Linked DNA regions of Cricetulus griseus. The protein of the gene in region 4 interacts with the protein of the main gene of each other region in a pairwise test. Links are inferred from orthologs where the notes say so. Each region holds a gene or a part of one and is shown on either strand. Other genes may lie near its edges.

What was found.
Region 1: the proteins of Mif4gd (region 4) and Eif3g interact in binary tests that used the Homo sapiens proteins (3 or more experiments, as listed by UniProt). The link is inferred for Cricetulus griseus from reciprocal best matches to the Homo sapiens genes MIF4GD and EIF3G.
Region 2: the proteins of Mif4gd (region 4) and ATP-dependent RNA helicase DDX19A interact in binary tests that used the Homo sapiens proteins (3 or more experiments, as listed by UniProt). The two-hybrid records come from large-scale screens. The link is inferred for Cricetulus griseus from reciprocal best matches to the Homo sapiens genes MIF4GD and DDX19A.
Region 3: the proteins of Mif4gd (region 4) and Ddx19b interact in binary tests that used the Homo sapiens proteins (3 or more experiments, as listed by UniProt). The link is inferred for Cricetulus griseus from reciprocal best matches to the Homo sapiens genes MIF4GD and DDX19B.

Annotation. Positions count from the first base shown.
Region 1 is NC_048597.1:133,766,608-133,774,043, forward strand, and holds the start of Eif3g (eukaryotic translation initiation factor 3 subunit G), read right to left. Parts: upstream 4,463-7,436; 5' UTR 4,372-4,462; coding exon 4,352-4,371; intron 4,236-4,351; coding exon 4,189-4,235; intron 3,997-4,188; coding exon 3,913-3,996; intron 3,809-3,912; coding exon 3,720-3,808; intron 3,598-3,719; coding exon 3,538-3,597; intron 1,588-3,537; coding exon 1,483-1,587; intron 1,392-1,482; coding exon 1,202-1,391; intron 417-1,201; coding exon 309-416; intron 177-308; coding exon 40-176; intron 1-39. UniProt on the Homo sapiens protein: RNA-binding component of the eukaryotic translation initiation factor 3 (eIF-3) complex, which is required for several steps in the initiation of protein synthesis.
Region 2 is NC_048596.1:187,402,366-187,409,706, reverse strand, and holds the start of ATP-dependent RNA helicase DDX19A, read left to right. Parts: upstream 1-3,503; 5' UTR 3,504-3,609; coding exon 3,610-3,666; intron 3,667-6,243; exon of another isoform or gene 6,244-6,263; intron 6,264-7,341. UniProt on the Homo sapiens protein: ATP-dependent RNA helicase involved in mRNA export from the nucleus.
Region 3 is NC_048596.1:187,428,948-187,436,386, forward strand, and holds the start of Ddx19b (ATP-dependent RNA helicase DDX19B), read right to left. Parts: upstream 4,890-7,439; 5' UTR 4,793-4,889; coding exon 4,736-4,792; intron 1-4,735. UniProt on the Homo sapiens protein: ATP-dependent RNA helicase involved in mRNA export from the nucleus.
Region 4 is NC_048600.1:128,202,982-128,210,405, reverse strand, and holds the start of Mif4gd (MIF4G domain-containing protein), read left to right. Parts: upstream 1-3,212; 5' UTR 3,213-3,408; intron 3,409-3,709; exon of another isoform or gene 3,710-3,997; intron 3,998-4,177; 5' UTR 4,178-4,227; coding exon 4,228-4,309; intron 4,310-7,065; coding exon 7,066-7,175; intron 7,176-7,327; coding exon 7,328-7,424. Other genes in the region: Slc25a19 (mitochondrial thiamine pyrophosphate carrier), read left to right, coding at 362-544. UniProt on the Homo sapiens protein: Functions in replication-dependent translation of histone mRNAs which differ from other eukaryotic mRNAs in that they do not end with a poly-A tail but a stem-loop. May participate in circularizing those mRNAs specifically enhancing their translation.

The DNA.
Region 1 (7,436 bases), on a different chromosome or scaffold from region 4:
TACTATCCAGCTACCCATTCCCCAGACCAACCCACCCACCTTGGACTGGCCAGTGGTCTTGTCCTTGGCCAAGTATATACGAGAAATGGAGCCAAAAGGCCGGAAGAGTTCCTGGAGATCAGTCTCACGTGTGTCCTCAGACAGGTTAGTGACTCGGATGGTGGCATTGTCATCGGCTATGTGAGCAAGGCAGGGAAGGTGAGTTGGTGGTGAGAAGAACGCCACATTAGACCCCACACCCACAACACAGGATAATTACAGGGTGTCTAGTTATGTACTTGCTACCTAGGCTATTCCTAGCCTCTTACCTCTTCGGTTAGGCTGCATGGACTCCCCACGGCGACTGGCCCCATCCCGGAGACTCGGGGGCACATACTTCCCTGTCTTGTTCTGGGTGGCCTGCACAGGCTCCAGCTCTGGAAAGCAGTGGACAAAGTCACATTCAGCCCTAGCCCTGAGCTACAGGCATTCAGTCATGCTTTGGTGACCCCAATGGTCACATCCAGAAGCTACCACCCTTCAAAGTCTCCACTGAGACAGTATGGGTAAAGTGAGCAAGCTACAGGACAGGTGTGGTGCTGGCACCCACAGCCCAGCACTGCAGAGCCCCACGAGCTAGAGAACACCAGGCTCTCAGAGCCCAGACTACAGGCTATGACAGAGGGTGTCCCTGGGCTGTTCATGATAGGTGAGAGGCAAAGCTCCACACAAGTCACAAGTCACCAACAGGCAGCTACATACATGGCACATTAGATTTTGACCTACAGAGCCAGTGAGCTCAGCACACGGATACTCCCTACACACACACACTCACACACTCTCTCACACACACACACACACACACACACACACACGCGCGCGCGCGCGCGCGCGCGCGCGTTAGAATAAGTCACCAGCCACATATACATAGGAATGACCATGCCCCAAGCAAACGAGGTAACTATGAGGGTACCCAGGCATAGGCTGCACCAACATGGCCACAGAGAAAGAAAACAGCACACCACAAAGTTAGCCAGGCGTTGGTGGTGCACACGCCTTTAATCGCAGCAGTCAGGAGGCAGAGGCAGGCGGATCTCTGCGAGTTCAAGGCCAGCCTGGTCTCCAGAGCAAGTGCCAGGATAGGCTCCAAAGCTACACAGAGAAACCCTATCTCGGAAAAAAAAAAAAGTGTTGAGGCCCCTCCCATGCCCTAGGCCCATACCTCCCGGAAGCTTCTCCTTTTCCCCAGTAGACAGGCCCAGTTGCTCAGCCAGTTCCTTCTGCATGGGCCCCAGTGTGTCCTTGTAAGGGCAGCGGGTGGTCCAATGGTCGCCCTTGCAAATGCGGCAGGACACAATCTTCTGGCCCTTGAGCTTGTTCATTGGGTCTTCCTCCTCCTGGCAGTTTAGGTCCTAGTGGGGAATAGGGAAGAGTGGCTCAGAGCCGGCCGCTGTCCACCCCACCCCCACTGCACTTCTGGGTCTCCAGCTTCACCCTGCTCACCTCTTTGCTAGTGATGAATGTCATGGAGACATCATCGCTGACTGTGGTGGTGGCCACATTGGGCCCCGGTGGGTCAAACTCAGAGTAGCCAAACTTCTTCCAATTCTGGGTTCCCAGAAGAATAGGGAAAAATGGGGACAAAGGCAGTAAGATAGCAGAGTGGGGTACCCCAGACAGACAACCCCGTCAGAGCCTTAAATCCTACATTCTCGTGTCCCCAGAGGCCTCCCATGTGATAATGGTGACAATTCTCATTTCCTAAGCTAGGCTTGGTGGAATGTAACTGTTACCCTGACACTTAAAGGTGGAAACAGAAGATTCCGAGCTCAAGGTCACCCTGAGATACACAAGTTCAAAACCAGCCTGAGCTCTGCTGTATGAGGCCAAAACAAAGGAGTGGGGGAGAAGGGGGGAGGGTGTTGGTGAGGTGGTTCCGTGTGTAAAACCGGTTATTGTACATGAAAGAACCCAAAACTCTCATATAGAAAGTATGAGCCAGGTGGTAGCGGCACACATTTTTAATCCCAGCACTTGGGAGGCAGAGGCAGGCAGATCTATGTGAGTTCAAGGTCAGCCTGGTCTCCAGAGCCAGTGCCAAGACAGCCTCCATAGCTACACAGAGAAACCCTGTCTTGAAAAACAAAAAACAAACAAACCAAAGAGTTAAATATAGCCCAGGGGCAGGGGACCCTATCTAAAGAGAATAAGTTGTAAAGTGACATGACAGAGCAAGTCACCCAATCTCCTCCTCTAGTCTGAGTGTGAATATACAGCCATTCATGACCCCGAGACACACCCACACACCTACCCCCCCCCACACACACCCCATAAGGAGAGAAGCAAAAAAAAAACTCCAGGAAACAGCAAGGAGACTCAGAGTAGAATGGCACACAACTGTGCCACTGAAGTTTCTAGGCAGGTGCAGGGCGGGCTCCCACCAGGGAGGAAGCTGGAGGATGTCCAAGAGTCACTCAGATCACAGGAACCTTAAGCTAGTTAAATGGGACCACAAAGCTCCCTGCCTCCCTAGCCTGATCTAGAGGTTGGGAAGCCATGTCTTGCTAAATGCCTGGCATGGAGCCTTGCTCTCAATGTGTTGATGTCCTTCCTCCAGAAGCCCTTGCCCCTTGCTCAGTAGAGGCTGCTTGTTCCTTCAAGTAGACAGAGCAAAGGAGTAAGAATCTAAGTCAGGACCCAGGAGGCTAGGCAGAAGCATTTAGAATCTGAATACTACACAGCAAGAGCCTCTCAAAAATAACAACAAATGGGGCTGGAGAGATGGCTCAGAGGTTAAGAGCACTGAGTGCTCTTCCAGAGATCTGAGTTCAATTCCCAGGAACCACATAGTGGCTCACAACCATCTGTAATGAGATTTGGTTCCCTCTTCTGACATGCAGGCAGAACACTGTATACATAATAAACAAATAAATCAATCTTTAAAAATAAATAAATTAAGGCTGGGCGTTGGTAGCATACGCCTTTAATCCCAGCACTCAGGAGGCAGAGGCAGGCGGATCTCTGAGTTTGAGGCCAGCCTGGTCTCCAGAGCGAGTGCCAGGATAGGCTCCAAAGCTACACAGAGAAACCCTGTCTCGAAAAACCAAAAAATAAATAAAAATAACAACAAAACAAAAAACTCAAGAGGATGGATATGTCCCAGTTAGCAAATTATTTGTCACAAAAGTACCCATCAAAGTCCAATCCCAAGCACCCACAATGAAAAGCTGGGCACAGAAGCATGTGATTGTTATCTCCAAAGGTAGAGACAACAGGCTCACTGGGGATAGGTGGCCAGCTAGTCAAATCTAATTCCTGATGACAAAAGCCCATCTCAATGCAAGAGGAATTTGCTGGAGGAATGACACTGTACACAGGAGCACACAAAAGGGGGGAAAAAAATCTAACCTCAACTACTCCTGGACCCTGAATTTCCAGGGCCTGACACTAAATTTTTAATTCTACATCAACAGGAAAGGACTTCCCAACTCCTCTGGGCCAGTCCTGGAGACCCCTCCGCATACACACACCAAAGTGAGTCAGATGGGAGGGCCTCACCTTCCTCCTGGCCACAGCCTTCGATGCCTTCCGGGTCTCAATCCTGAAGGTCCTGACAATCTGAAGATGGAAAGGGAGAAAGGACTTCCAGAACCTCAAGGCCTTCCTTCCTCACCAATCCAAACCAACACTCACAGCCCTCATCGCCAATCCAAGCGCCCCCGCGGCCACCTCGGCCTCACCTTGAACTTCTTGCCATCTTCATCTACCTTGTACTCGGTCACAGTCTTTACGTTCCCGTTGATGACTTCCTTGGGAGGTGGCAGTGGCTCTGTGGGAAGACAACAGGAACTGAGTCCTGGATAACGGGGACTTGCTGGGAACGGGCTCGAGGGCCGGAAGGGGGAGGGGACGGCAGGGCTGGACGGGGCTCACCTCCGGGCAGTAGCTCCGGCTCTGGACTGGTGTCCCCGGTGGGCAGAGGGATTCCCTTCAGGAGCTCGCTGGTGACACACTTGTCTGTCAGAGGCAATGCGGGGGCGGCGGGGGGGACGGAAAGTGAAACACACGGCTGGGACGTCCAGGCCAAGGTGTGGGTGGGTTTGGGGACTCCGGGGGCTCGGCCCGCCCCGGGACAGGGCGCGGAGGGCCGCGCACAGGCACTCACACGCACGCACTCACGCACTCACTCACACGCACACGCGCACTCACCGTCCTCGCCCTCCTCTTCCACCTGGTCGGCCCAGCTGGGCTTCGAGCTGCGGAGACACGAGAAGGGTGAGCGGGTCCCGACCCCCGCGCCGCCCGGATCACCACACACCCAGCGCTGCCCCACACCGCCTCTCTGGAGAGCCCGCCACCGCCCCGTCCTCACTCAAAGTCGCCCGTCGGCATCGCGAAGTCTAGCTCCACGCAGCTCCCAGCCCGGGTAGAGAGCGGAAGCCCGGGGAGAACGAGGCTTCCGGTGCCGCCCCTGCAGCCTAGAGCGGCCAGACCGCGGCGAGCACAGCGCCTCCCTATGGACGAAGGCGGACACGCGACTCTCGTGTGCAGCGAAGTACGGGGACCCAAGCTGGAAGGAGGTCCCAGAGAGACCGTCCAGAACTTCTTAAACTCTCCGCACCCACTTAATTTATTGTTTTTTTGGGGGGGAGTGATGGGATTAGAAGTCACTGTATCACTCTGTAGCTAGGATAACCAGCAATTCCCGACAATCCTCCTGCCTCAACCTCCGAAGGGCTGAAATTATAGGCATGAGCACCACGCACTGATGTACCGAAGGCTGGGTTTGCACTCATAGCAATCTCCCCAGTTTATTCTCTTGTGGACTGAGCCCAGGTCTTCAGGCTTGGCAGTCAGCCTTCTTAGCTGCAAAGACATCTTGCAAGTTCTACCGGTGTCATCTTTTTTTTTTCCTCCGTTTTTTATTTGAATTAGAAACAACATTGTCAACAAAACAAAACAAAAATAAAAAACACCAAAAAAGGCCGGGCGTTGGTGACACACGCCTTTAATCCCAGCACTCGGAAGGCAGAGGCACAGATCTCTGAGTTCGAGGTCAGCCTGGTCTCCAGAGCGAATGCCAGGACAGGCTCCAAAGCTACACAGAGAAACCCTGTCTCGAACCCCCCCCCAAAAAAAAGGAAGAAAGCAACAACATTGTTTTACATGTTAATCCCAGTTCCCTCTCCCTCCCCTCCTCCTCTGCCTCCCTCCCCCAAGTAACACCCTACCTATCCCATGCCCTTTCTGCTCCCCAGGGAGGGTGAGGCCTTCCATAGGGGGGGGTCATCAGTTTGTCATATCCTTTGGGATAGGACGTAGGCCCTCCCCCGTGTGTCTAGGCTCAGGGAATATTCCTCTATGTGAAATGGGTTCCTACCAGTGTCATCTTAAACTATTTCCCATACTAAGCTTTTCTCCTTCCTCAGAGCTACACCCCCTAGAACTCTGGTATAATCTTCCTTTACTTGATTCTCAGCCTCTGGGAACATGCATTCCAAGAAGTTCTTTCTTAGTTTGGGTTGCTAGTGCAGATGGAAAGCACACGCTGGGCGCACTTGTGATGACCTATATTTCCAGCACGTAGAATTTGTATTATGGAGCCGTGTGTGTGTGTGTGTGTGTGTGTGTGTGTGTGTGTGTGTATGCGCGCGCGCGCGCGTGCGTGTGCAGGAGTGCATACCTTTAATCCCAGCACTTGTGGAGGCAGAGACAGGTGGGTCTCTGAGTTTGAGACCAACCTGGTCTACAAAGTAAGTGCATGACAGCCAGGGCTACAGAGAAACCCTGTCTTGAAAAACAAAACCAACCAAACAAAAACAAAACAAAAAATTTACTAGAGAAATGCAAAATCCAGACAAATGGCCTTTGCTTTGTTTTTGTTTTTGTTTTGTTTTTTCAAGACAAGGTTTCTCTGTGTAGCTTTGGAGACTCTCCTGGAGCTTGCTCTGTAGACCAGGCTGGCCTCAAATTCACAGAGATCTGCCTGCCTCTGCCTCACTAGTGCTGGGATTAGGGACATAAGCCACCATCACCTGTCTACAAATGGGAAAATTCTAAAAACAAAATTTAAGTGGACAGCATTGACTCAGTGGTTAAAGGCACTGGCTGCACTTCCAGCAGACCTGGGTTCCATTCTCAGCACCCAAATGGCAGCTCACAACTGTCCATAGCTCTAGTCCCAGGGATCCAATGACCTCATCCACAGGTGCCAGGCATGCACGTGGTGCACAAACACAGATACAGGCAAAACACCCACCCACATACAGTAATAATAAACTTAAAAGTACAGAAATAAGGTATTAATAAGATCTTTCCTTGGAGCCAGGTAATAGTTTAACTTATGAGCAAATTGTATGCAAAGACGTGACAGTAAGAAGGCTGTGCAGTGGGGAGTGGTGGCACACACCTGTCATCTGGCACTCAGATGGCTGAGGTGTAAGTGGTGACCTTTCAAACGATGCTTGCACTAGTGAAAACCTATAGAGAAATAGTTTTGCTCTTTTTCTGAGGAGCAGTCTTGTGTAGCCCATGCTGGTGTCAAGCTACTGATTCTACCTCCACCTCCCCAGTGAGGGGATGACAGGCAAGCACCACCAGATTGGCTTATTTAATGCCAGGGATGGAGCCCAGTGCATGCTGGGAAAGCTGTCTTAGTCAATTTTCAATTGCTGTGATAAACACTATGACCAAAAGCAACTCAGGAAGGAAATTGTTCATTTTATCTTCCAGCTTATAGTCCTTCACTGAGGGAAGTCAGTGCAGGGACTTAAGGCAGGAGCATGGAGACAAGAACTGAAGGAGAGGCCATGGAGGAGTGCTGCTTCCTGGCCTGTAATGCATGGCTTGTTTTGTTCTGTTTGGGGTTTTTCTCTTCTTTTCCTTTTCATTTTTTTTTTGGGGGGGAGGGGAATTTGAGACAGGGTTTCTCTGTAGCTTTGGAGGCTGTCCTGGAACTAGCTCTTGTAGACCAGGCTGGTCTCAGATTCACAGAGATCCATCTGCCTCTGCCTCCCGAGTGCTGGGATTAAAGGCATGTGCCACCACCTCCTGGCCTGTTTGGGGTTTTTCAAGACAGGGTTTCTCGGTGTAGTTCTGAGTGTCCTGGAACTCACTCCATAAAACAGGCTGGCTTCAAACACACCGAACCTGCCTCTGTCTCCCCAGTGTTGGGATTAAATGTGTGCACCACCTTGCTCAACCTTTAAAACAAAACATAGTATCACTGTGTAGACCAGGCTGGCCTCAATCTCTTTAGATTCACATTCCTCTGCCTTACCGAGTGCAGAATTAAAGACATCTTTCCACAATCTACTCTTAAGTTTCTTTTAGGCATTTTTTTGTTTTGTTTTTTATCTTGTGTGCACTTGTAGGACGATCAGAGAAAACTTTGAGTTGCTTCTCATCTTCTATCATCTGGGTACCAGAGCTCCAACTCAGGCCGTTAGGCTTGGCTG
Region 2 (7,341 bases), on a different chromosome or scaffold from region 4:
ATATATTTTAAAAAATGTGTGTGGGTGGTTTGTCTGCATTCTAACCCTAACCCTAACCTTAACCCTAGCCAGCAGAGGGCATCTGATCCCTAGAACTCTCCTTTCAGGCAATTATGAGCTGGGAACCAAACCTTGTTCTTCTGAAAGAGCAGTATGTGCTTTTAGCAACTGAACCATCTCTTCATGCCCTATTTTGTTGAGACAAGATCAGGCTGTCCTTAAACTCAAGTCTTTCTCTGCCTTTCTAGTGTTTACATTTTAAGAGTACAGTACTACACCCAGCTCCAGCGCTTGCGCGTTATGGCCAAAGATGTACAAGAGTTTTATTTAATGCATTGATCTCCAGTAGTAATCCCTCTGCAGTTCTGCTCCACATAGCTCTCCTGAAAAAGTGTCCTTTGCAAAGGACTGTGCAGGCCTAATGTGGAACACCCTTTCTATTCATGCTTGACTTCTCAGCGGTATTCAACAATACTTCCTACAGGAATTAGAGCCATTCTAGTGTTTACCATTGGGACATAGCCACCTTTTGGTCTTTTTCTGACCATGTCTCAGGCTCCTTGATGCTTTAGTTCTTGGTCATTTCCTCTTCCACAGGCAACTTTCTTCAATCCTATGGCTCTGTCTGCTGGAACCTGCCCCCCCCCCAAAAAAAAAAACCTATCCCAAGACCTGATTGTTGAATTCTAGGGTAGGAGAAACCGCTGTGCTTATACTGGGATGTTTTCTAATTCTGTTACTATGAACAAGAGCCCAGAAAACACCACCAAACCAAACCCTAAACCTTGCTCTTGAGTTCCTCCAGCTTAACCTCACAAAATGGCATCCAGTTGCCTAATGTTCAAGTTAGAAACCTGGAATTCAACATGAATCTTGCTTCCTGCTTCTGAGCCAATAAAATACCAAGTCCTTTGCATCAGTTGTCCATTGCTGTGTCACAAGTCTTCTCAAAACAATGGTTGTTGGATGTGGTAATAAATGACTTTAATCCTAGTTTTCAGTAGGCAGACATAGGTAGATTAAGTTTGAGGCCAACCTGGTCTATATAGTTCCAAGCCAACCAGAATTACACTGCCTTAGCTGTACTTGGTAGCACAAGCCTGTAATCTCAACAGTCAGAGGGTTGAGGCAGGAGAACTGTGAGGCCAAAATGAGACTGGATCTAAAAAGAAAACAAAAACCACTTTTCATTTTTGGTTCTAGTACAAAATGAGAGGGGCTCTCCAGACCAGGTACCTGCTTCATTCAAATGCATCTTTTGCTTCATACTGTGCTCCAGTTCTGCCTAATTTGATGGGCTTGCATACTTTTTTTCACATCTCCCAGCTCAAACTGAAGCAAGGACAAAAAAATTGGAAGAAACTGCCAAAGTTAAAGGCTGAGTAGAAAATGTCACCTCCAGGCTTCTAGCTGATGTGAATGTGGGGAAATAGGAAATAGGAGTCCTCCAGTTCAGCAGAGAGTCAGGATGCACAATACAAGGAGAAGGGGATAAACTGTCAGTCCTGCTTCTACAAATCCTGTTCTTTTGGAGAAATCTCAAGGCCCAGTGGTTAAGAGCACTGGTGGTTTTGGAGGATCCAGGTTCAGTTCCCAGCACCCAGCACCCACATGGCTGCTCACCACTATAACTCCAGTTCCAGGGGATCTGATACTCGCACAAATATAAGTGCAGGCAAAAACACAATACACAAAGTCATCTTTAAAGAGTTAAAAGAGCTCCCTGGGTGTGGTGGTGCAAGCCTTTAATCCCTCTGGAAAGCAGAGGCAGATGGATCTCTTGAGTTTAAGGCCAGCGTGGTCTATAAAATGTGTCCCGTCAGGGCAGCCAAGGCTGTTACACAGAGAAACTGTCTTGAAACCCCCTTCACCTGGAAAAAAGAGCTCAACACACTGATGACTGTGCAGGCTGGGTCTTCTCTGCCACCTAGATGTTCTAAACAACTTGTGATTCCATTAATTTTTTTAAGATTCTATTATGTATACAAAATTCTGCTTCCATGTATATCTGCACACCAGAAGAGGGCACCAGGTCTCATAACAGATGGTTGTGAGCCACCATGTGGTTGCTGGGAATTGAACTCAGGACCTCTGGAAGAGCAGCCACTGCTCTTAACCTCTGAGCCATCTCTCCAGTCCCATCCATTAATTTTTTTAATCACTTTATTTTATGTGCATTGGTGTTTTGCCTGAATGTCTTTGTATGGGTAGCAGATCTTAGACAGTTGTGAGCTGCCATGTGTGGGTTCTGGGTATTGAACTCAGGTCCTCTGGAAGAGTAATTATTAGTCCTCTCAATCTCTGAGCCATCTCCCCGCTCTCCATTCTTTTTTGTTTGTTTTGTTTGTTGATACATGGTTTCTCTGTGTAACAGTTCCGGTTGTCCTGGAACTAATACTGTAGGTCAGGTTGGCCTCAAACTCAGAGATCTGCCTGCCTCTGCCTCCTGAGTGCTGAGGATTAAAGCCGTGAACTACCATGGCCTGGCAGTCCCATGAATCTTTTTTTTTTTTTTTTTTTTGGTTTTTTGAGACGGGGTTTCTCTGTAATTTTGGAGCCTATCCTAGCACTCGCTCTGGAGACCAGGCTGACCTCTAACTCACATAGATTCACCTGGCTCTGCCTCCCAAGTGCTGGCATTAAAGGTGTGGGCCACCACAGCCGGACTATTTTCTGAATCTTTTTGGCATTTTGTCACCCCTTTCCTGACCTGTTGCTTACTATATGTAGAGGGATCTGACCTGTACTTGATTTTTCGAGACAAGGTTCCTCTGTGTAGTCCTGGTTGTCCTGGAACTCTCTTTAGACCAGTGTGGCCTGGAATTGAGATCCAATTGCCTGTGGAATTAAAGGCCTGTGCTATCACTGCTCGCCCATTTTATTTTTATTTATTTTGTTTTTTTCTCTGTGTAGCTTTGGAGCCTATCCTGGCACTGGTTCTATAGACCAGGCGGGCCTCGAACTCATAGAGATCTGCCTGCCTCTGCCTCCAGAGTGCTGGGATTAAAGTCATGCATCCCCAACGCCTGGCCTCATTTTATTTTTAAATGTGTATGCATGTATATGTCTGTGACCAAAAAGGCTAGCAGAAGGCATTGGATCCCTTGATATCTCGGCATTTGAGAAGTGAAGGAGAAAACCGAGCTCAAGGCAGCTAACTGCAAGAAACCTTGTTTCAAAACCGTACTAAAAACTATTTTACTATGAAATGAAGAGATGCAGTGAATACTAAAAGTTACTCTTTGTAGACAGAGCTCTTGGGCGTAACTCACAATCAGACCTCACCTAGCGAAGCAGGATTTTTGTTTTTGTTTTTTCGAGACAGGGTTTCTCTGTGACTTTAGAGGCTGTCCTGGAGCTAGCTCTTGTAGAACAGGCTGGTCTCGAACTCACAGAGATCCGCCGCGAAGCAGGATCTTAAAACACAGGGCACGCTTACTGTCCAGGGGCGGAGCGCGAGTGGGACATGACAAAGCGAGACAGGAACTGACGTCAACTCCGCGCACGTCTCCTTCCGCTCCGCGTGAGCGGCGCTTAGCGCGGGCTGGGACTCCACGCTGGTGTTGGCGTGGTGCGGAACCTCTGCAGATCCCGCTTGCCTTGGGGACCATGGCCACCGACTCCTGGGCATTGGCGGTGGACGAACAGGAAGCCGCTGTCAAGTCGGTCAGTGTCCTGGCGGGGACGGGGGACTCAGGCGGACGCTGTTTCCAGGACCTCCGAGTCGGGTCGGCCTGCGCGCCGCAGGAGTTTGCTGCGGGCAATCACTTAGTGCTGATTTGCTCCTAGAGTGAAGAAAACCCGCAGCGAGCTTCTTATCCGAATTTGGACTGAAAAGTTTTCCCGTGGTGATTCTGTCCTCACTATGTGTGCGAGGTTCCAAACTGGCTCTTTCTCTTGACCTTTATAACAATTGGCAACATAAAATTTTCTTTTTCATTGTTAAGGGACAGTTTTTGGGTGCATTTATGCTGCTTTCACCTAACTTCTTACGTTCATGCCTAATGTGGTTGACAGTTTGTAGCTCTCCAGAATAACTGTGTGTGTGTGTGCGCTTGCTTGCTTGCTTGCTTGCTTGAATGCCTCACATAGCTACAATACAAAACTGTTTAGTTAATATTTTAGTGACATTTAGTTTCATTTCTTAGATTTTGAGTGTGTGTGTGTGTGTGTGTGTGTGTGTGTGGTTATGGTGTGTGTTGGTGTGTTCGAGACAGGGTTTCCTTTAGTCTGGGTTGGCTTCTGACTTGTTGGATAGCTGAGGTTGTGTACTCCTGTCTTTCTACCTCCTCTTAAGTGCTGGAATTACAGGCTTGCTGCCTTTGTTTTGTTTTGAGACAGACCAGATGGCCTGCAGATCACTGTTTAGCTCGGTGTGGCCTCAAATACTTTTAATATTTGCTTATGTTTGTTTTGTGTTTATATGTGTACTCCTTTTGTCCCTACATATGTTAGAAGAGGTAACTGGAGATAGAAACCGACATGAGCCTCAATGTGGATTCTGGGAACCAAACCTTAGACTCCTGCAAGAGCAGGAAGCTCTCTTAACCACTGAACCGTCACTGTAACTCCAGTATTTATTTTTTTAAACCATTAATTGTACTTATGATGTGTATTATGTGTTTTGAGCATGCATGTATCACGGTGTGTATGGAGGTCAGAAGACAACTTGTGAGGATAGTTTCTGGACCTACATTGTGGTCCCAGGGATTGATTCAATTAATCAGACTTGATGACATGCAATTACCCACTGAGCTATCTTATGAGCTCCAGTCTGAAGTTTCCAATCTAATGTTTAATATGAGCTTATGCCTAAAAGGTAGTGACTGGGAATTGTTTTCAATTTAATTATATGTGTTTGAGAAGGAGATCTCACTCTGGCCAGTCTGGTCTTAAAGCCCCGTACTCCACTAATCCTCCTGTCCTAACTGGAAATGCAGGAGGGTACCGCCATACCCACCTTTCTCATTTTTTAAAGTGTACTATCCAAAGCTGGGGACATAAGTTTTCTAAGTTACAAACTTGCCTAGCCTGAACAAGGCCCTAGGTGGACACCTTGCACTGCAGGGGTAAAAAAATATGTACCTAATCTCATTATGATATGAATGTCACCGGTACCACCTAAACATCCTTAATATTTGACCTAACCATTCTGCTTATCAGAAGACTGATGCCCCTTGAGATATACTTCACCACCACCACCCCAACACACATACACCTTTTGCCACATAGACCTGTGTACATTTCCTGTCCACAGAGGCAATATTAATCATCAGAGGTTGTGTGCTGTGGTGAATCCAGAACAAAGGACAATGGGCAGTTGATTGGCTGGCCTTTCCCATTTGTGGTTGCTGTTCACTCTCAAGACAGGCATACTTGTCTACTAGCAGTTCTTCCTTGAATGCAGCTGCTAGATTCTTGCTTTTGACATCCTTTATCCCTTCAGAGAAAGCTGTTTTTTACACAAATCATGGTTTAATTAACTTAGTTTTCTTTTTTATCAGGCCTTTTGGAGGCCAGTCTTAATGTGGAAGAACTCAAGATGGTCATTATCAAATTTTCAGAACATCCCAGTTATTTATGTTGGTCGCTGCATACATCCTGAAAATAAGGATTAACCAACCAATGATAACTTTTGCTATGCCATGCCTCTCCTGTGTATTTTGGGCTTCCTCTGGACATTCCCCCACTAAAAAAAGAAGTGTGGTCACCTGCGTTTTTGTAGAAAACCTGGTTCCCAAAGAGATCAGATGAAAACACTAACTTTTGTGGTGGTTTGAATAGGTCCCCCATAGGCTTGGAAATTTTTTAACTCTTGGTCCCCAGTTGGTGCCGCTGTTTGGGGAGGCATAGGAGGCATGTCACTGGAGGCAGGCCTTGTGGGAAAATAAAGCCCCATTTCAAATGCAGTTCAACATGAAAGCCCTCAGCTTCTAGCTCCAGTCACCATGCCTCTGCTCTGCCATCGTGGACTCTTAGCCTAGAGTAACTCTTAGAACCACAAGCCCAAGTCAACCCTTCTGTAAGTTGTCCTGATTATGTTGTTTTATTACAGCCGTAGAAAGGATATGAGCCGGGCGTTGGTGGCGCACGCCTTTAATTCCAGCACTCGGGAGGCAGAGGCAGGCGGATCTCTGTGAGTTCGAGACCAGCCAGGTCTACAAAAGCTAGTTCCAGGACAGCCTCCAAAGCCACAGAGAAACCCTGTCTCGAAGAACCAAAAAAAAGAAAAGAAAAGAAAAAGATAGGAAAGATATGCATGTGTGAGTAGATCTTTTCTCAAAGGCCTAGCTAGCAGTGTCAGTTGGAGAGGGCAGCTTGGAAAGGATGTTATCATTTAGCAGAGTATAGCAAGTTTGAGAGCAATATTCCAGGAAAGATAACAGTTCATGGTAGGTGTATTGGCTCACAGTTTTTTTTGTTTTTGTTTTTTTAAGATTTTATTTATTATGTGTACAACATTCTGCTTCCATGTATATCTGCACACCAGAAGAGGGCACCAGATCTCATAACCAGTGGTTGTGAGCCACCACGTGGTTGCCGAGAATTGAACTCAGGACCTCTGGAAGAACAGTCAGTGCTCTTAACTGCTGAGCCATCTCTCTGGTCCCCTGGGAACATCTTCAATACTACTGTATTAGTTGCTTTGATCTTTGCTGTGACAAAATATATGACAAGAACAACTTAAAAGTTTATTTTGGCTCATGGTTTAAGAATGACGGACACATGGTCCATTATGGTGGAAGGCATGGTGCTAGGAGTCACAGGGATCCTCAAGTAAGATGATGATGATGATGATGATGATGATGATGATGATGATGATGATGATGAAGCTTCACTAACCTTCTCATTCAGTCCTGGACTCTAATTCAGGGAGTGGTGCTGCCCACATTCTGTGTAGTGTTGGTTTTCCTCCCTCAGATAAACTCAGAGGGTTATCTTCTATTGATTCTAAGGACGGTTGAGTTGACAGTCAAGATTACCATCTTACCATTTTCAAATCACTCTTAGCAGTTTTTAGAACATAAGAAATATTTGTGAGCTGTGCGTTGGTGGCACATGCCTTTTATCCCAGCACTGGGGAGGCAGAGGCAGATGGATCTCTGTGTTCGAGGCCAGCCTGGTCTCCAGAGCGAGTGCCAGGATAGGCTCCACAGCTAACACAGAGAAACCCTGTCTCGAAAAACCAAAAAAAAAAGAAATATTTGTGAGAGTCTGGAATGATGGCTTAGTGGTTAAAAGCACTGACTGCTCTTCGAGAGAACCCAGTACAATTCCCAGCATTTACATAGCAGCTCACTCCTGTTTGTAACTCCAGTTCCAGGGCCTCTGACACCCTCA
Region 3 (7,439 bases), on a different chromosome or scaffold from region 4:
AGACTGTGAGTCAACAGAGCCTCCCTAACTAAACTGGAAGAACTATTCTCAAGACTTACTTGCTAGGCATATTCAGTAGCAATGATTCATTAGCTTGTTCTACTGGGTTCCTTTTACTTTCAAATTGTTGAAAGAAAATAACAAAATTTCCCATAAATACAGCAGTAGGAAAGAAAAAAAAAGATTATATAGTAGTCCCAACCTCACATTTCCTAATTACAATTTCTATGAAGAATTATAATTTGTAAGCTTGCTTAATGCTTTGTTTTACAAAGACTTTCTCGGTAAGATTTTGTCAGAACTGTCATTTTCTTCTGTCCTGAAAGAAAAGAAATGCAAAGACCGGGGGAAAAAAATCAGTCTCACTTTTGACAGCCAATACCCAGCAGGAAAGATTACAAAGTAGAGCAGCAGTGACCCATCATAGTTATATGGCTGGGTAGGTCCCAGCCAGACCACAACAGCTAACGTGCAGCCTCACATTCAAGCTGCTTTGTACTGGGTCTGACATTATAACTATAAATTCTGAGAGCACTGCGATACCAGGCACAACCAAAATTAACCAAGACAGGTTCAGTTAGGACTAGAAAAGAAGAAACTGATCAGAGAAATGTTCCAAGGCAATAATTAACAGGACTTTGTCAAACAGTATAAATTAGAAATATCCTGGTATGACTTATATCCACCCATAAGGATGTAAGTATCTTAATAGGGGGCTGGAGAGATAGCTCAGCAATTAAGAGCACTGGCTGCTCTCCCAAAGGTCCTGAGTAGTGACTCAGCTACCAGCTAGTAAAGGGTATAAAGAATGAAAAAATCTAGGCTGGAGAGATGGCTCAGAGGTTAAGAGCATCGAGTGCTCTTCCAGAGGTCATGAGTTCGATTCCCTGCAGCCACATGGTGGCCAACAACCATCTGTAATGAGATATGGTGCCCTCTTCTGGCCTGCAAGGACACATGCAGACAGAACACTGTATACATATAAACAAATAAATCTTAAAAAAGAAAAGAAAAAGTTGTTTGAATTGGTAGCTAGATACAGATGGAGGAGCCCCATTGGTGTTACAGAATAGTAGGAACATATGAGAGACAGTAGACCAAGGAGATTAGCAGAGAGAACAAAGGAAATCTTAAAACATAAAAATCCTTCATTCAGGGGCTGGAGAGATGGCTCAGAGGTTAAGAGGTCCTGAGTTCAATTCCCAGCAACCACATGGTAGCTCACAACCATCTGTTATGAGATCTGGTGCCCTCTTCTGATGGAAGCAGAATGTTGTACACATAATAAATAAATAAAATCTTAAAAAAAAAATCCACCTTAAAAAAAAAAAATCCTTCACTCAGCTGGGCAGTAGTGGCACATGCCTTTAATCCCAGCCCAGGACTCAGGAGGTAGAGGAAGGAGAATCTCTGAGTTCAAGGCCAGCCTGGTGTACAGAGTGAATTGCAGGACTGATTCCAAAGCTACACAGGGAAACCCTGCCTCAAAAAACCAAGGTAGGGGAGGGGGCTAGTTTACTGGTCATGGTTGTCCATACCTGTGATCTCAGAATGCAACAGGTGAAAGCAGGAGGATTAGGAGTTCAAGACCATCCTGGACTACATAGTAAGTTGAAGGCTAGCTCTTGCTCCATGAGACCCTGTGTCTACGAGGAGGAGGGATGTAAAGGAGGGAGAAGAGAGTATATTCAACAAAAGAGAAAGGAAGAAGGAATCCTTCTGAATGAGATTGATAGCAAATCTGCTGTTTCTCCTTGTCCCTACAAAAATGAGCTGTACTCTAAAAATAGGAGGGTCTGGACAGTCCAGCTTGAATCACACTAAATGTTATGAAAGAAACAGTTAATAGAATGCTTAATGTAGTTGAACATCTTTTTTTTTTCCCCACATGTAGTTGGACATCTTGATATAAAGACTACCAGCATCAAGCTAAGGAGCGAGCTGATAATAAATGAACAAGCAAACCACAGGCCAATTAAAAACTCCATGAAAAACAAGTTTTATCAAGTAAGTAAGGGGATGGCCAAGAAGACTCAGAGGGTAGACATCTGCCACCACACCTGAAGACTTGAGTTCAATCCTCAGGACCTACATGGTACAAGGAAAGAAGCAATTCCACCAGTTGTCTTCTGGCTCCCATATTCGTGCTATGGCAAGACCTCCCCTCCCCACCACACATACACACACACACACACACACACACACACACACACACACACACACACACACACACACAAAGCCAGATACATGTAATTTTAAAAATTTAAAGAGCTAGTCATGGTGGCATATGCCTTTAGTCCCAGCCCTTGTGAGGCAGAAGCAGGTGAATCTCTGTAAGTTCAAAGCCAACCTAGCATAAATAGTGAGTTCCAGGACAACCAGGGCTATGTAGAGAGACCCAGTCTCAAAAAAAAAAAAAAAAAAAAAAAAAAGTACTTAGGAAATAATAATATAAATACAGAAAGTCCATTTAATTAAAAGATAACATTTTAATCAAAACTGGGATCTTGGCCTGGTAGCTCAAACCTGTAATCCTCAAACTGGGGGAAACTGAGGTAGAAGGACTGCTGAAAATTAAATTCCAGGGGAGGGGGTGGCTCAGAGGTTAAGAGCACTGGCTGCTTTTCCAGAGGTCCTGAGTTCAATTCCCAGCAACCACATGGTAACTCCCAGCCATCTGTAATGAGATTTGGTATCCAAGCAGACATGCAGAGAGAACACTGTACACATAATAAATAAATATTTAAAAAAAAGAAGAAAATTAAATTCCAGTTGGGCTATATAGTGAGTTAAAGTTTGTAATATATGCTAACATACATAAAATTACATGCAATCAATAAAATTGTCTTAATTTTTTAAAAGAAGTGCAAAAATAAACCCCCAAGGCCCAAACTGTTCAATTAATGAATGGGCCAATAACCAAGTAGATAATCCCCCCCACAAAAAAAGAAAAGAAAAAGAAATATGAGGCTGGGAATGTAGCTCAGTTGGTAGAGTGCTTGCCTACCACACAGGAAACTCTTAAGTTCAGTTCCACAAACTGCATGAACTGTGCATGACAACTATGCATTCCTGTAACCCCAGCACTTGGGAAATGTTAACCAGATCAGTTAATGAAGCCAATACAGAAATCAGTACAGACATTAACAAAACAAAACTGATAATAGAACATGATCCAGCTATACCACTCTTGTGTATTCAAAGGATGAAAGACAAAGTCAACATACTACAGAGATACTTACACATCTGTATTTATAGCTACACAGCCAGGAAATGGAACTAGCCTAGAAGTCCATTCATAGATGAATAGATAAAGCAAATGTGGTATACAAAGTGGAATTTTATGGAACTATAGAGAAAAGTGAACTCATGTTACCTGCACAAAATGAGTACAACTGGAAATCATTATGTTAAGCAAAATAAACCAGACCAAGGAAAACAAACACATGTTTTTGCTCATAATGCAAAATTATATATATTGGTGTTTGTACACCTATTTATCTGTGTATTTATAGGTCACAAAACTAGAAAGGAGGTCATGAGGGAGGAGGAAGAGGTCTTATGGTAGGTGGGAAATAAAGTTAACAGGAAAGCAGGAGGGAGGCTACACAGGTGAAGAAAGGGAACCCAGCTGGAGGGAAGCCACCCGAGGGAGAGTAAGGGAAGGACAAAGAATCATACACATATGTATAAAGATGCTATGGTGAAACCTAGCACTTTGTATATTAATTTTTAAAAAGGCTACAGAGAAACCATGTCTCAAGGAAAAAAAAGAAAAAGAAAAAAGAACACTTTTCTCAAACAGGGCACAGTGATGCAGGCCTGTGATCCTAGCACTCAGGACATAAGAGACAGAGGATCAGGAGTTCCAGTCAGTCAGTCATTCATACATACATACATACATACATACATACATACATACATACATTCATTCAAGGTCCTCTGTCTCAGAAAAGAAAAAATTAAAAATACCCAAATAAGTGAACAAAGTCCAAAACACTACTTCTCTTTAAACCATGTGGGTAAATAATTATATTACTATATATATTATAATAAAAGTTTTAAGCTAAACTAAATATTTTTTCTTTCAGGGTGGCCTTCAACTTGAGGCAATCTTCCTGCCTATGCCTCTAAGAGATATGATGAGAGGTGCCAGATCATGCCAGGCTGAAACCTTTACTCTTTACTAAAAAAAAGTTAAATCGGACAAATACTTATTCTTGGAAAATACACAGATATATGTACTGAGAGTCACATTCAAATCTCTACTAAATTTCAGAATGTTTGTAAATTACTTGTACATAGCAATATTTAACTCACGTCTTGCTACAATGTATCAGGCTAAGAAAAAGAGCTAATCAAGAGAGGATTTACTGCCAAACCAGTCAATCATCCAGCACCAATAACCCAGTGGGAGGAGTTATAAATGAGTAAGACATGGTCCGTGAGCCCAAGAAACTTGTATCTGAAGCTACATAAAAATTGCCATCCGAGGTTGTGAGTGCAATCGATTATCAACCCTGATTCCAGGAAGACAGGCAGATGGCTGGATCACCCAAATTGAGTTTATACAACGTGGGAGGGGCTGGGTAAGCAAAGCCAGCTTTGGGGCCAAGTCCCATTCCCGCCAGGCTCCTCCGCCCTGCACCGAGCAACCTAAACAGTGTCTTTCCAAGAGACCGCGATCCTGACCGGCACTGGTCCCATGGTCCTCCAGCGGCTGGTGACAACTCACCGACTCAGCCGCGGCTTCCTGTTCGTCCACCGCTAGGGCCCATGAATCCGTGGCCATGGTCCCCAGTGCCGGGGCAGTGCTGACAGGCTCGCCCGATTAGGCGGCGCGGCCGTGGGCTCAGGTGGGTCGCGGCGAGGCCCAGCTCCGCCCCGGGGGAAATCATTCACTGAGGCGCAGACGACCGGAAGCGGCGCACCGCGGTGTCGTCAGAGCCCGCGTCAGCTCTGCGCCCCTAAAGTCCTGGCAACTCTAAGGTAGTCTTCAGGTCCCCGCCTCTACCACTTCGCTGCAGATTGCCCTACTACCCAACTGAGGTAGCCTAGACTAAATGCTCTCTGACTAAAGGAGGGAAATCACCTTCACACCCAGCATGGTGGTATAGAGGGGCTCATATAACTATTACATTCAGAATACATAAGCAAGCAAATAGCTGTTTTAACTTTTCAGGTTATTTAAAATGCCTCAGCTTACTTAGTGTCTGTTCTTATCAATTTAATAAGATTTCTAAGTATTGGCAATCAGTCCTGTGAAACAAAGATCTGTCCCAAATTGAGTTTTGAAAACACCAAATTCTTGATAAATTGAAAATTTTGGTAAAATATCAGAAACCAGAAAGAGTAAGTCAGTTTATCCAACCAATCCAATTCAATCCCTGGTGGCAAGAGCCATTTAATAAGGAAATATATGGATTTTGGAATCATCTATGCCTTCTTCGGATGGCCAGCTCTCCTCTCCTATGTAAAGGCTGTGTAGCTGGAGTTTTATTTATTTCGTTTTGGATAATTACAAAAAAAACTTGCTTATTTTATGTGTATGAGTGTTTTGCTTGCATGCCTTTGTGCACTATATGTGTATCTGGAGCCCAGAAAAGTCAGAAGAGGGCATTGGATACCCAGAAGTGGAGTTATGGATAGTTGTGAACTATCATGTTGGTGTTGGGAATTGAACCCAGGTCCTCTGCAAGAGCAGCAAGCACCCTTAACCTCTAAGCCATCTCTTCAGCCTTAGTTTTGGATAATTTTTATTTTATTTTGGTTTGGTTTTTTGAGGCAGGGTTTCTCTGTGTAGCTTTGGAGCCCTGGATAATCTTTAAGAGGAGGAAATAGCTCTAGTTTTTAGAATAGTAAAATAAGGACTGAAATACTTGCTTTCCCCTAACTGGGATCAAATAGGCCTTTATCCCTGGCTACTTCTTGGAAGGAATTGGAGAATTTTCTTGGAACTTTATGAAAACATTTTACTAATATTACATGACAAATTAATGTCAAGCAATGGTGAGTACGTAAGGATGGTGCAGGCAGAGGACAACCAAGCACAGGCTGGGAGCCATGACCATATTGCGAGTCAGAAGAAATCCTGGGGAAAAATCAACTAGAAAAAAATTTGAGGTTTTTTTTTTTTTTTTTTTTTTTGTATTTTTCAAGGCTACATAAGGTTAAGAAATTCCAAACAAAATAAAATGAAGTTAAACATTAAATTATGCAAGATGCAATATAGAATAGGTTCTCCTTGCTCAACAAAATGAAACAAACTAACATAGGTGTGTGTACAGAATGAAAGTCATCAGAAACACATCGACGACTATTTAGGAGAGGTTTTAACTCACAGTGATCTGCTTGCCTCAGTCTCCACATGCTGGGATTATAAGCATGAGCCATCACTCCCATCTGAAATTTCGTTTTGAATTCTGAAATTATTTTCCTTGTGCTCATTTTCTTTTGAGACAGAATCTCAGAAAACCAGACCCAAACTAAAAAAATTGTACAAGTCAAGCATGGTGGTGCAACCTGTAATCCCAGTACTTGAGATGCTGAAGCAGGAGAATAAGGAGTTGGAGATCAACATGACCATCTTATTTAAAAATAAATATAACTAGGGCTGGAGAGATGGCCCAGAGGTTAAGAGCACTGGCTGCTCTTCCAGAGGTCCTGAGTTCAATTCCCAGCAACTATATGATGGCTCACAGCCATCTGTAATGAGATCTGGTGCCCTCTTCTGGCCTTCATGGACACATGATGCAGACTGTATACATAATAAACAAATAAATAAACCTTTAAAAAATAAACAAAACAAACAAAAAACACCTTAATGTGGTGATACAATGCTTTAATCCCAGAACTCTAGAAGCACAGGTAGGCCAGCCTGGTCCACATAGTTCCACGCCACCCAGGGCTACAAATAGTGAGACTGTCTAAAAAAAAAATTGTTTTTACTTCAGATAATGAAGGGAATAATATTTAACAAATACCTCAGCTTCTGGGGGATAGAGGGAAAATTAATGAGTGAGGGGATGAATGTGACCTGATGTTCTATGCTCTTACCTAGGCTCCTACCACTTGGCTTAAGAAATAAAACATGAGTTGGCTGTGTTGGTGGACGCCTTTAATCCCAGCATGTGGGAGGCAGGGGCAAGCCCTGTGAATCTGAAGCCAGCCTGGTCTACAGAGTGAGCTCCAGGACAGCCAAGGCTACAGAGACCCTGTTTCGAGAAACCAAAAAGAAAAAAAGAAATAAAACATGCAACTGATCTCTTGCCTAGCAGCACATGCTAGACCCTGAATGTATTTGAAAAACCTCAAAAGTTCTTGCATACCTCAAACACAAAATTTCAACTGAAGCATCCTCAAAGCCCAACCAGGTGGTTCTCTCTTGTAAGAGCTGCACTTGGAAGGTGGAAACAAAGATCCAGTTCAAGGTCATTGTT
Region 4 (7,424 bases):
ACAGCACTGTGAGGACTCTGTCTTGGGGACATAGGACAAACTGACAGCAGTTTGTGGTGTCACCTGAAGGCAGGGAGGCCAGGCACTGGCTAGGGAAGATGGCCAGATTCAGCCCCGATGCCCAAGATGGCCCAGGGCTGTCACTGCACCCACCAAAGCCACAGGCGCTCCCCCTCACCAGGAAGGGACCCTTCCAGCTCAGTTCATGCCCAAGAATGAAGAATTTCACTCCCTCATTCACCCAGCACTCTCATTCACCCAGGGCACTTACTAGGTGAGTGAATCCCTCACTTGGTTGTGCCAAGTGAATCCCTGTTTTTATCACTGTTCATTTCATCAGCCTTCACCTTCCTCTCCTCAGGTGCGTAGCTACAGGGGCCTCCTGGACCTCACCAAGCAGGTGCTACAAGATGAAGGCACCCAGGGCCTCTTCAAGGGCCTGTCCCCCAGCCTGCTGAAGGCGGCCCTCTCCACCGGCTTCATGTTCTTCTGGTACGAGCTCTTCTGTAACCTCTTCCACTGCATAAGGAGTGAAGACAGATAGCTGTGAGCATGGGAGGGGCCTACAGTCCACACTGGAGGCGCCTCTCCTGACCAGACTTGTTCTGCGCGCATACTGGGCGATGGCTGCTGCCTGGTTGACCTAGGCCGGCTGTCCTGGGCATGAAGAGTTATCCACAGCCGATGGCAGAAGGGCAAGGGCCTTTTCTGAAAAGAACAGAGAAGGGAGAGCTTGGGCTGTAGAAACAAGGCCACTGAGAAGGAGCCTGGCATTGTTTCTCCTCTGTCCAGCCCAAAGGAGTCAGCCATCCTCTGCTTTGTAGTCCTGTTTTTGGGGGAGAACGCTCCCAGTCCTGGGAAGAGCATGGCTTGTGTACAGAGGGAAGGGACTGGGCTCTTTGTAGAAAAATCTAACCCACAACTTGGTGTTTCTCCTACTAACTTATTTAATAGACATTAAAGCGAAAGACACATTCCTCACGTCACTCTTGCAGCTCCTGTCATGAGTCACTTCCCAGATGAGGGAGGGAGGGTGATGGGAGAGGCCTTTGTGGTGTCCCTGCAGTTGCCGCCCTGAGGCAGCCATGTTCTTCTTTTCAAGGGGAACCCTTCAAGGTGTCACTCTTCAGCTTAGCGTGGGTGCTGCACACATACGTGTCCTCTGATCCCAGGAGGGCCTCAGCCACAAAGCAGTCCAGTGATGGGGCTGGCCAGCCGCCTGGGGGGACATGGCTGGCACCGGTTAGCAGAACCAGGGACCCAGACACATCTATCTAGATGGAGAGGAAAAACTTGTCAGGGGCGCGAGAGAAGAAGCACACCTCGACAGCCGTCTTCTCCATGCTCCTGCCTGGCAGCGGGCGAGAGGACAGACCTTGACTTTGTGGGATCCCTGCCCTACAATAACTTGGAATGTAATGCCTGCTCGGGATGGACCTGTTCATGGAAGCTGGAACTTGTGCCCCGCGTGAGCCCCACCTTCCTCCTCTGTGGTCCCTTTGTACCCCCTCCCCTAGAGGCTGAACCTTCTCTGATCTGATGGTCCAGGCTGCTCTTGGGAGAGCTTCTGAAGTGGCTGGGCTCTTGGCTTCCTGGGCTTGGGGCTGCAGCAGTGTGGTGTGGTGCTCGTCTGCAGACACATGGGCAAACGTCTACTCTAGAGAAGGAGCAGATGGCAGACCAATGCAAGGTCTGAGGGCTTCTGTTGCTGCCTGAAACACCACCACCAAAAAGCCGACTGGGGAGGAGAGGGTTTATTCGGCTCACACTTCCACATTGCTGTTCATCATGGAAGGAATTCAGGGCAGGAACCTGAAGGCTGGAGCTGCTGCAGAGGCCATGGAGGGGTGCTGCTTGCTCAGCCTGCTTTCTTATAGAACTCAGGACCACCAGCCCAGGGTGTCAGCACCCACGATGGACTGGACTCTCCCCATCAATCACTAATTTAGAAAATGCTCTCCAGGCTTCCCCACAAGTCTGATCCTACGGAAGCATTTTCTTAATTGAGGTTCCTGCTTCTCACATGACATTAGTTTGGTGTAAAACTATTTAGCGCACAAGGCTGGAGAGATGGCCCAGTAGTTAAGAGTACTGGCTACTCTTTCAGAGGACCCCGGTTCAATTCCCAGTACCCTCATGGCAGCTACAACTGTCTGATCCAGGTCAAAGTGATTTGACGCCCTCATTCTGACATAGATACAGTCAAAACACCCATACACATAAAGTAAAAAATAAATCATTAAAGCAAAACAAAACCTTCAGCACTACCAAAGTCCAACTTGGTGAACCAATGAGGTTGACAGCTATCGAAAGCTGGGAACCACTGGGCGGTGGTGGCCCCAGCACTCGGGAGGCAGAGGCAGGCGGATCTCTGTGAGTTCAAGACCAGCCTGGTCTACAAGAGCTAGTTCCAGGACAAGCTCCAAAGCCACCGAGAAACCTTTTCTCGAACCCACTCCTCCCGCCCTCACCAAAAAATGCTGGGAACATGGAACACACTGAACAGCCTGCAGGTCCACCAGGCAGCTCAGTGGTCGGGCCTCTGAGGTCAAGTTGACCGATCTTGACTATGCTGGGCAGCCCAGCCCATGGCGGCTTCTTCCAGGCAGCTGTGCTGCTGACCCGAGCCCTTTTCAGGCAGCCTGGCTTGGGTGCTGAATGCATCTCGGTGGTCCTCATTGCCTGCACATCCTTAGTAGGGAGGGGCTTCCAGGAGCCTTTGAGTTGTTCGCGCCCCTAGAACATTCGGTATCTTTTATTTCTTTTCCGTTTTTCGAGGCAGAGTTTGTTTCTCCTCTTAGATGTCCCATCTTAACCTGGAGGCTTTAGTCGGCTGTCCGAATCTTTCAGTTTGCTTTTTTATAAAGTAAATCCCATGCTCCTCATTTGCCCTCTGGCAGGCGATTCCTTGGCTGCCGCAGAGGAGAGTTCTCTTTTGTACCTATTACCATGACTGCCGCGACAACTCTTAAAATAAGCGCGAGCTCTGGCTGCTGGTCGCCTGTGTGCCCGTGAGGTGGGGAGGCCACAGCGATGCTCCCGAGTCCCCCCGGGGAGGACCCAGGGCCCTTTCTCCAGGACCGCCCCTTGGATTTAAAACTTATTTTGCCAGGGTGTGCCCCAGACCTTACACACCTTCTGCTTTAACCAGCCCAAGCCCGGAGGACAGTGCCCAGGCTGCTGCGATTGACTCGCCCCGCCTCCCGGTAGGCCACGCCCTCCCGAGGCTCCGCCCACGCCGCGCGGCCCGGGAGTCTCCCACCCGGTTCACCTGAGCCCCGCAAGGGACATGGTGACCCTGGCGGGGGTGCGACCCGGCAAGAGCAAGGGCTTCATGCGGGACGGAGAGCGGGTCCGGCCGAGCGCTCGAGGGCCTCTGCGGACAGGAACGAGGCTGAGGTGCGCCCGGTGAGGAGGGGCCGGGGGCGGCGAGCGCGGCGCGGCGGTGGCGATGTCGCAGACGTCGGTGCGGATCGGTCTCCGCGCCAAGCCTGGGAGCGGCCCCGGGCGGCGGCGGGGTGCGCAGGCGTGCGCAGCGGGGAGGGGGGCGGCAGGCGGCGCTGGCGAGCTTCTCAGGCGCCTCCGTGCGAGCCGAGCTCAGCTTCCGCGCGGTGGCGCGCCGGGCGAGCGCTGCGCAGTCCCCGAGACGCGAGCGCCCTCCCACGCAGGCTAGTCGGAGCCCAACGGCTGCAGGGGTGGGTGTTGTGGGCGGAAAAGGACTGGCTAACGCGGGGGAGAAGGGCTCCAAGCCCTGCTGGTATCAGGATCCGCGCCTTGGACAACGCCGGCAAAGGAGCCGAGCCAGAATTCTCCATGCCGGATAACTTGGGCGAGTCTGACGTCTCCCTCTCCACAACCCAGTTCAGTATGCGCTCCCCTAAATGCACCCTGATACTGGCTGATAATAACCCAGATCCTGCCGCGGCCGTAGGTGAATTCCCGCTTCATTCCTCGTATGTAATCGCAGAAGCCCGGGTTTCCTCAGGCTGAGCTGCAGGTGCCTACTTGATGCTCAAGTCTCCACCAGAAGCCAAGTGTGGTGGGCTGAGAGCGACAGAAGTCCAGTTACTCCTGTCCCTCCCAGGCCCGGCCCGGCCCGCCCCACCCAGTGCCTACAGGACTAGAAAACCGAGCTCTGCGATTCTCACGCGAAGCCTCTTCGGTCTTTGCTTCTCAGGTGCTGACATTAGTTTCAGGCCAGTGAAAAACTGCTGAGGCTGGACCGTCATGGGGGAGGCCAGTAGAGATGAGTATAAAATCCAGTCGTTTGATGCAGAGACCCAGCAGCTGCTGAAGACTGCACTCAAAGGTGAGCCTACCGGCCCTTCTACTTGGGCAAGAGCTGCAGAGGGGCTGGCTGAATGCCCAGCCTCCCTGTGCCTACCCGAGAGTAAGTCACAACCTCACTCTTGGACCGGAAGACGAGCTCCATCTAGGCCATTATTTTTGAGAATGAATCACAGTCCTGTTTGAGATCATACAAAGCCTTTAAATGCCCAAGAGAGAGGGAACACGACGGCCGTCCCTTTAAAGCCACATTCGATGCAGCCAGCCAGCCTCCTTGAGTGTCCACAGCTGTCTGGCTGAGGACAGAGGCTGGGGAAGCAGCTTGCTGCAAGAGAGGTGTCATTGCCCGGCCCTATGTCCTTCCATTGTAACAGGACAGGAGTTTGACTAACAGTTAGCATTGTCCCTCCTGTGCCCAGCTAACCCCAATAGGGAAGTCTCTGCAGGCTCATGCCTGGGGCTTCTGTGTTTTGAGCACACTTGGAGCCATGTGGTGGAGCACAACTGTAGTCCAAGCAGATTACAGAGGCAGGAGGATTAGCTGCTCTACATAGAGAGAGCCTGGGGGAGGGGAAACAGGCCAGCAGTGTAGAGCACAGGTTGCAAGCCAGGCACGGTGGGCTCCTTTAGTCCCAGCACGCGGAGGCAGAGGCAGGTGGATCTCTGAGTTCCAAGCTGGTGTGGTCAGCTCCATAGTGAATTCCAAGATAGCCAGGGCTACATAGTGACCCAGTCTCTCTGTCTCTATCTCTGTTTCTCTCTCTCTCTCTCTCTCTCTCTCTCTCTCTCTCTCTCTCTCACACACACACACACACACACACACACACACACACACACACACACACACAAAACCATAAAGATGACTTGCAGAGGACCTGGAGTGGCTCATAGTCATTGGTAACCTGAGTTCCTGGGATCCAGTCAAACATGGTATTCATACATGCATGCAGACAAAATATTCATACATATAAAATGAATGAACCTTAAAAAAATTGCACAGTGAGGTATAGGCCAGCCAGTGCTATTAAATAACAGAATTAGACTGTCTCAAAAGACAAAAAAATTAATCCCAGCACTCAGGAGGCAGTGAGTTCGAGAACTCTGTGAGTTCTGGTCTACAAGAGCTAGTTCCAGGACAGCCTCCAAAGCCACAGAGAAACCCTGTTTCGAAAAACAAAACAAAACAAAAAACCCCCAAAACAAACAAAAAAAGTTGTAGAAGTCTTGACATTCAGTTTACATTCTTCAACCTACTGCCAAGAAAATAAAACATAGATTCCCAAGAAACTACATTTGTACTTTGGTCTCTTCTAGCCTCATAATCCTTTATTTAATTAATTTATTTATTTATTTGGCACAGGACTCTCAGTGTAGCCCTGGCTGACCTACAATGCAGCTCACTCTGTAGACCAAGCTGGCCTCAAACTCAGGTTGGCATGCCTCTGCCTCCCGAGTGCTGCCATTAAATGTGAGTGCCACTCCTGGCAGTATATAATTAAATTTTTTAAAATTTAGTTTGTTGGGCAGTGATGGTACACACTTTTAACCCCAGCACTGAGGAGGCAGAGGCAGGTGGATCTCTGTGAGTTTGAGGCCAGCCTGGTCTACAGAGTGAATTCAAGCACAGCCAGGACTGTTTCACAGAGAAACCCTGTCTGGGGAAAAAAAAAAAAAAAAACAGAACAATTTAGTTTATCTATGTGTTTACCTGCGTGTGTGGATGTGCACCCACCATGCACAGCAGTGTCTGTGGAGGCAAAAGAGGGTGTGAGAGCCTCTGGAACTAGTTACAGGCAGCTGTGACTAGTGTGGGAGCTGGGAATTGAACCTGGGTCTTCTTCAAAGGCAAGTGCTCTGGGCCGGTCAGTGGTGGCACACGCCTTTAGTCCTAGCACTCGGGAGGCAGAGGCAGGTGGATCTCTGTGAGTTTGAGACCAGCGTTGTCTACAAGAGTGAGTTCCAGGACAGGCTCCAAAGCCACAGAGAATTCCTGCCTTGGGACCACCCCTCTCATTCCCCTCCCCCCAAAAAAGGCAAGTGCTCTTAACCGTTAAGACATGCTTCAACTCCCCTGTTTCCTGATTGCACAGCCAGGGTCCTGACAGTGAGGCTGGTGTAGGCATGGTTGCAAGCATCTGCTTGGAGACTACATATTTATTGGTTTGGCTGCATTGTGTCCAGACTTTGGTTCCACACATCGTAGTTAGGCATAGTGCTTGGTCCCTAAATTCTACTCTTTACACCCCCAACTCTGGTTTTTATTTTCTAGATGGGAATCTCACTATGTAGCTCTGGCTGACCTGGAACTTGCTATGTAGACCAGGCTGGCCTGTCTCTGCCTCTCAAGCCCTAGGATTATAGGTGTGCACCACCCAACCCAGCTTCTTTTTTTTTGAGACAGGGTCTCATGTAGCCCAGGCTGTCATAGAACTCTGCATGTAGCCAAGGGTAGCCCTCACCTCTTGACCCTCCTTGTTTCTACCTCCCAAGTGCCATCTGGCTGGTTTCCCCCGCATCTTTTTAAGCATGGGATAGGATGTTCTCTCACAAACATCTCATCTTGGGTGTTGGAGTACTCGACTTTAATCCAGTACTCAGGAAGCAGAGGCCGACAAATGTCTGTGGGTTTGAGGCCTGGTCTACATAGAGTGTTCTAGGCCAGCCACGGCTACGTGGTGAGAACCTCTCCCAGAAAAACCAGCCCCTCCAGCCCTTAGCAGATGGAGGCACACAGGCTTAAGCAGGCAGCTCTAGACTCTGCTCCTGTCTCTACCCCAGATCCAGGCACCGTGGACTTGGAGAAAGTGGCCAATGTGATTGTGGACCATTCCCTGCAGGACTGTGTGTTCAGCAAGGAAGCAGGACGGATGTGCTACGCCATCATCCAGGTCGAGGGGGCTGGCAGAGAGGCAGCTGCCTTGAGTATGGCACCCCAGGATCAGGCACAGGCTGGCCAGCAGAAGACACACAAGTTTATAGACAGAGGCTAGGGTGGGTGGAGTGGCCAGCGCCCTGCTTACCACCCTCTCCTGGCTCACAGGCAGAGAGTAAGCAAGCAGGCCAGAGTGTCTTCCGCCGCGGGCTCCTTGACCGGCTGCAGCGGGAGTATCAGGCCCGGGAGCAGCTGCGAGCCCGCT